2 linked regions of the Daphnia pulex genome follow. The protein of the gene in region 2 purifies or fractionates together with the protein of the main gene of each other region. This does not show direct contact. Links are inferred from orthologs where the notes say so. Each region holds a gene or a part of one and is shown on either strand. Other genes may lie near its edges. The genes, in order: probable protein BRICK1-B and uncharacterized protein LOC124196242.

Evidence for each region.
Region 1: the proteins of uncharacterized protein LOC124196242 (region 2) and probable protein BRICK1-B purify together in Drosophila melanogaster (affinity purification with western blotting; 4 studies listed by BioGRID, with this or other methods). This does not show direct contact. The link is inferred for Daphnia pulex from reciprocal best matches to the Drosophila melanogaster genes SCAR and HSPC300.

The regions. Positions count from the first base shown.
Region 1 is NC_060018.1:1,420,654-1,423,311, reverse strand, and holds probable protein BRICK1-B, read right to left. Parts: upstream 1,215-2,658; 5' UTR 1,193-1,214; coding exon 1,078-1,192; intron 1,009-1,077; coding exon 926-1,008; intron 857-925; coding exon 830-856; 3' UTR 728-829; downstream 1-727. Other genes in the region: SLIT-ROBO Rho GTPase-activating protein 1-like, read left to right, coding at 1,908-2,052.
Region 2 is NC_060022.1:717,566-722,063, forward strand, and holds the start of uncharacterized protein LOC124196242, read right to left. Parts: upstream 3,005-4,498; 5' UTR 2,114-3,004; coding exon 1,419-2,113; intron 1,326-1,418; coding exon 1,211-1,325; intron 491-1,210; coding exon 317-490; intron 234-316; coding exon 79-233; intron 1-78.

The sequences.
Region 1 (2,658 bases), on a different chromosome or scaffold from region 2:
TCGTTCCGCTCATAATCACATTTCAACGCCGATTCACGGTCAGTCGGCTGACGGCCAACGCTTTTGTTTCGCTGATTTATACTTTGTTTGGAAGCTTGCGTAATGACGCGACGGGTTTACTTCCCAGGATACCTGTTAAAAAGTACAACTCAATCCATGTTCAGGCGATATTTCGTCGTTCCAACTTTTTGACCACACGGCGTATTCCGCTGCCTTAGATATTCGCCAGTTTTTTGGTCTCCCTCTCCTGACCAAAGTATCGTGTGCTCCATAATAACTATTTGTGGTTGAATGAGTACGTTGGTGGGGCACCGCAGAAAATGACAGGGACCACTTCTGAGGTATAGACGTCATTCATGCGAGACATTTTAAAGGCCAACATCAATTTCGCTTTCGTTATTGAAGTGAGTGAAAAAATTATCTGGGATCTTTGAATCTTGTAGAAAGGGGAACACTTTGTTGACCATGTATGACTAGCATTTTGAGTAGTTCCTAATGATAAGAGGAGTGGAAAATTAAACCAGTTTCTTGGACTTTGAAAAAAAATCTAAACAAGTTGGACTTGTTTTGATTTCACGATAGTAGCACATTTTTGTCATTCCCAGAATCAAGAAGTATTTTGCATTCCACAGTAGTAGTTAACCTAACACTATAATAAGTGCAAAGAAGGAGTGATACAAAGAATCTTTAAAGAGTCTTTTCATTACAGTAATAATGAATCAATTCATCAAGTGATGCACTGTCTATTCAACTAATGCGACCAAATATGTGTAAAAAAAAGGGCTTAGAGTAAAAGGGAAGGCAAATTTGTACTGTGTTTTGGGAAGCTTCATGTCAGGGTGTCGCCTTTCGTTACCTACAATGGACGAATGATGAAAATGGTAAATTAAATAATCATGATCACATTTATATTGAAAAATATTACTCTGGCTTCCAAGTATTCAATTTTTCTTTCTAGTCTGGTGATTTTTTCGTTGAGCACTGCTAGTCGTCCTCGGCAAGACATATCTGTGTGGGCATGTGCAAGGAAACGGGTTTTACGATGAAACTAAAATTTGTCAGTTTGTAGTGTCCTACCAAAAGAATTGAGAAAATCGGTAATCTTTTTAATGCTGCTGGTGATGACTTCAATGTATTCTCTGTTGGCCCAATCTTGCTGGGTTTGTTTTTGAAGGGTTTGTTTCGTCGACATGTTTTCCCAACTTTGTTTGTGTTGTGAACTGTCAAATCAGCTCCATTAGCTACGCTTCACCATCGCAATCGTACGGAAATTGAAAATACGATTAAAACAGATGAAAAATACAATTAATAAATCGAGAATAATTTAAAATTTTCAAAACAAGTATTAAAATCCGGCCAACACCTTTAGATTTTATGAAAACGATTAAAACACAAAGTAATCAGAAGGCATGTTGCTGAGTACAGCCGCTAGGTGACGCGAGCGTAGCCCTGTTATTGAAAATCTCCATTGAGCCCGAACGGCTGCAGCTGGGCAAGGAAGGAGGAGCATTGTGTGTGGAGGTGGGACGACGCGATAGGGGTAAGTCAAAGTGAAATGTGCCTTGCTTGCGTTAGTTTGGATTTTCAACCGTCTCGTTCAACTTGCCGCCTCTTTTCGATCTCTCCGTTTGACGTTATAGTGTTTGACTCGAAAAGCGACGAGGCGTTCTTGGCACGACAGAAAAAAGTAACCGAAAAGTTGGACTCTCTATCAAGATGTCAGGGTGGGGCGTTTGATCTCACTCCCCCACACACAAAAATCAGAGAGGAGAAAAGAATAAAAAGCTTCTGCCAGTGTGTCGTCTGTATGTGCTGCTGTGCCGTGTAAGAAGTTGGCGTCAGAGAGACTTCCCCATCTCTCTCCATCTTTGGCCGTGTGTGCTGCTAGTCTCTTCATTACGTGTGAAATGTCGGCCAACAAAATCGTCCTCAACATTTCGGCGCCGGTCTCATCTGCTGTCCAACAACAAACGGTCGTCCCGCCAGAGAGTGCCAAGAAAATGGCACGCAAAGACAAAGAGTTTCTGTGGGAACTCGACTCACAAGTGAAAGGTACTATCTCACTTTTTTCTGATTATTATTAGATTCTACATCGTGTGTGGTTGATTTGGATTGTATATATTGATATGTTTTCACTCATTGACGTGCATTTATGATCACAAACCGCGAATCCCCTAGAGTGCCGAAATGCAAAGGGCGAATAGCAACAGTCGCTCTCGTACATATTATATAGGAAATGAGTCGAGTCTCTGAGTTGGGAAGAAGTTTAGACGCAATAAGGTAGAAGGGCTTTCTGCGGTCGGAAGCCACCGGAAGCATTCGGTTGCTGTTTTCCTTATCACGGTCTACGAGTCGTGTTCAAGGTGATGCTCGTTATCACACGTTTCGTCGTCGTCAAAAGCAAAATAAAAACAGATTATCCGTTACTTTGTATAAACTACTAGCTAGGAATCATTGGCAACAATACGAATGTTTGGTTCGTGATGATACCCTCACGACTACGCACTCTGGTCAAAACCGGAAAAGGAAATGACAAATTTTTTGGCCTCTGATCAAATTGTTTGATGTTTCTCCTTGGATTTTGACAATCTTTTGTTGTTTTGCCGTTGGTGTTAAATGGCAGCTGCGCAGAAGACCAGATGCCATTTTTCTATGAAA
Region 2 (4,498 bases):
ACCCTCTCACACGTTGACAACATCAATTTCATTTGACAGACAGCCAACAAAAGTAAAAAAACGTGTGATTTAACCGACCTGTACACATTGTCTTGCGGATTACGCGAGTTCCTGGATGCGTAGATGGCCTCTTCGCTAGGGTAATTACGTTTCACTTCAATGCTGTTAGGGCGCGGGGGCCGTGATGTTGAACTGGGATCCGGTAACATGGTTCCATCCTCCAAATACAACGCCTGTGAAATTTAATTTGGCAAGACCACATTGGCAAAAGGCATTAGGAAAATAGTTGACAATTGTTTTGTACGGGCAGTATTACCTGAGGCGACTGATACAGCGCGTTCTGTGGGCTAATGTACTCGCCCTTGTTAATGGCCAGCTCACGGTGCTTTTCCCGAGTGTTGTGCGGTTGCCGGACCCGTTTCTTGTGGCGACCGCCTCCGCTGCTTCCGCCTCCGCCACCACCGCCGCCATCATTTCTGCCTCGATGCGGCTGTGAAACGGTACAAAATATCAGTTGTTGATCGCACAACATTTCAAAGCAAAAAAGAAAAAAAGAAAAAGAAAAAAAGGAAATTCGACGGTAGATGTGGGTTGAAAAGAGAACTTGCCTCGGACGGAGTGCCATCCGCATACTGAGAAGCATGTTCAAAGTCAAAATAATGATTTTTGTCGTTTTTTTTATTTAGTGTTACAGTTGTTTTGAAACCACAAGACAGCAATGATTTCTATTCGATACTAATGCTAATGGCCAAACATTTGGATGTTGTAGCTCGTAAAAAATAAACGAGGGAAAGTACAGAATTATTCATTAACCTAATTTTAAGCTTGAATGATTCCATAACAGGAAAAATAAAACATTTTCTGTCTGTTATGTTTAGGACGTTATTGCAGAAAATATGTTACAGATATATAGCCCTCCCTCCGCTGTTACTAAACGTGCGTTCCGCTGAGAACGGTCTGAGAATTCACGAACGTCACCGACCCAGATCGTTTATCGACTCTTCATCATTTCCCCCCTCAAGAAAAGAAAAAAATTCTAATAAAGCAAAGAATGAACCGTTTATACGGCCCTCATTATTCCAACGACAAGATACATGTCGACCGGTTGGTGGAGGTTGAGTGGCAGGTGAATGTAAATTGGCAAGAGACCGGCTTTCTCTCTCTAGGTCACAATTGTATTTAAAATGAAAGACGAAATAAATGTCTATACCTTGCGTCCCTTGTCGTTGAGGATGCGCTCAGTGTCTTTGAGCATCTCCTGTCGCCACAAGTCAAAGAAGTAATCCGGGTCCGTGTAGAATTTGAGCCCGTCCTTTCCATCGTCCCTAAAAAAGGCAAAAGAGATATCATCATCAGAATATTTTAAATACCAGTTTGAGCTGAGAAACTGAAAAAAAGTTCATTGGAATAATATGGACCAGGTTGTCGGAACGGCGGTCGTAAAGGACGTTTGAAGGGGAGCTCGATGTGGGCTAACTTTGCGAAAGGCACGTCGGAATGTCGACGTCACGGCAGCCCAGCGTTTGACTCGTTGAATCAAATCGCTGGCTATGCTGCCACCCCGGCTAAGCGTACGAGATTTGTTACATTCCTGTTGTCCACCAATTCCAACGTCCGGACGAACATCGGTAAATTCTCCGCCATGCCTGCCGCGGACTAACGGTGGCGGGGTAACTTTGACGGCCTGCAGAGAAACGGATCGCTGGAGACGACGCCGGCGGATGGGTGGAATGGGCTTTGCGGCTTCGATCGAGGATGTCGGAGGGGTTTCGATAACGGGCAAATCTGGGAGAACTGTATCATCTTCCTTTTCCACATCGACTTCAGCTAACCGCTTTTCGAGAAACTGCAGAAACTCATCAGTCAACCCTTCGATGGCACTGGTTTCCTTTGGTGGCTCTGCTTCCGCCGGCTCTGCTTCCGGCGGAGAGAGCGGAAAGAATTGGTCCTCCAGACCGAAAACCCACGAATCGCCTTGTTGTTGGTGTTGCGGCTGGATCGCCTGCCAATGGTACAGGCCCTCCTCTCCAAACCAGCAACAATTAGAGCTTCCGGCGTTTCGCTTATTATCGTCCGGATGGATCTGGGTCGATGGGCACAAACTGCAAGACATCACTCATTCACTCACTCAAGGCAGACTAGATTAAAGATGTGATTCAATTTCTTTCATTTCGCTTCCGCACATCCTCGGTATCAAAAACGCATCTGGGTCACCAACTTCTTTCGTCGTCGTCGGTCCAGTTCAATTGACCGACAAAAGTGTACAACAGGTGGCTCGGCGAACTTGCGTGCGTCCAGGTCTCACGGACGCCTTTTCTCAAGAGAAATTACGAGTAAATCGCGTCATAAAACGCCGAGTCTCTGGCACCGAGGACACAACCACCACATAAAAGCTAATCGCGATCCCTCCCCGCTGGGTTCTTGTTCGATATCCGTTTCGTAATGCCTTTTCGCTCGATTTCGCTTTAGGTTTCTCAATTTCGGGCAAAGATACACACGACACTGATTGCTTGTCCTTTTCCTTCACTGCTAGTAGTGGTAGATAATAGATGTCACACAGGACTTGCGAGTGGGACCAATCCGCTCGGCACGGCTGAAGACGATCGACTGAAGCACCGTAACAATGCGACCAATCGACGACTACAAGAACGGAAAGAGAGAGAAAGAAAAAACAAACTAACTAGAGATGGGAGGAGACCAAACATAACACGCCAGCTGGACTCGCGTAACAGCGCATTTCTTCTCGGAGAACGGATTGGGTGGTGGTGTATTAGGTTTGTAGGTTGCTCCGGTTCAACTAGTAACTCCCGCAGGCACACTGGACCGGTCCGTGAAATTTTTTTTTGGCCATAGCCACCCAGTCCAGTCCGGTCTGGACGACAAACGGGAGGATGCGGCAGAAACACCTATAATATTTTGCGTTTTGGGAATGAGGACGAGACGGTTTTCCCTACCGGTATCCGCGGACTCGTCATACGCAAAACCAGTCCCATCTGGCAGCCATTCCATCAATTTACAAGAACCTTACACGAGGCGATTGCTTTACACACACACACACGAAAAAGAAAAGGGTAATAATAACAATAACACGTTGCTCGGACAACGACGTACTAGAGTCCCGAGTCCAACGCCCGGTTGGATAGTTGTTGGCCGGCAATGCAATCTGACTCGCATCCCGCCGGCAATGAGGCATCTATTATACATTCACACTGGCATACGCCCTGGTCGATATGAGATTCCCCAGTCGGGCGTTAATAGAAACACAGAGCTCAAGGCCCGGCTACCGCGCCCTGGCTGCTCGCTCGCCTAACAAGTCGTCATAATCGAATCAACCTCCATTCGCTTCCCCCCTTATTATTATTATTTCTTTTTTTTTCTCTCTCTCTCAATATAGAACTTTCTCACCATCTCTATAGCACCAAGGAGAGAGAGAGAGACTTGGTGGCCGCAAGTGCTTTTAGATTACGGCAAAGCTGCAGGGGGAAAAAACATGATTCCACTCGACTGACGACGGCCGTTCGGAAATCTCACCAACCGGCCGGTGTATCTCCCACAAGATAATACAACGCCGATACTCCCATCTTTTCGCTTTATCCCTCGCCTCGTTCACACGGACGATTTGCTAGCATAAGCGTAACCAACTTCCGGCTAGCGTATGCCCTGTACGCGTCCTGCAGCCATACCTCACGATTTGCGCCAACGATTCTTAACAAACGTATTAACAGCATTGGCTATTACGTGTGATTTCATTATCTGGAATGATGACATTGCCAAGTTGGTCACGTTCTGCTTTATGGTCGGAGGCCTCGTGACCCCCTGCTGAGATTTCGGCTCCCGGCTAGGGTTCTATACATGCTAAAAATATCAAAGTAGTCATTATGCTTACCGGTATACATTGAGCTTGTCCAGAGGTGGGGGTTTATCACAGTGATGGTATGTATCTGCCATCGCTGTGGGAATAGTCAGCTTAGAGACAACCTGCTGATCGAAAACCACACTGCTTTTGAAGGCTTTGCGAAGGTGGATGTCTTGCAGTGAGACTTCCTCCACGGTGCTGTCCAGTTGAGTGACTTTGACTGCCAGTCTATCTATCCTGGCCTGTAAGCTGGAAGAACGAATATGGAGGGCCTCGGTCTCCTTGTAAAGCTCACCAAACATGTCTTCGGCATGATGGCTAAGGCTTGAGAGTTGTCGGATAATATTGGCCAATGTTCCATTGGTGACTCCTTCCAAGTCATTTGGAAGTTGGAGGTGTTCAGGCAATGTGTCCCTTGACACATAAACGGGAGAAATGACTCTTTTTGGCAGAGGCATTTTAAATCACTTCCTAAAAGATTACAGATGGTTTAGTTCTTTGGGATAACTTGTCATAATCACTACACCCTAGACCCTACACTTGCAATATCTGATTTTAACACTCTTATCATGTTGTTACTATAAATACTTGCACAGCTATTTACAACAGCTAAATAACTGTTTTTTTTTCTTCTAAAATTAC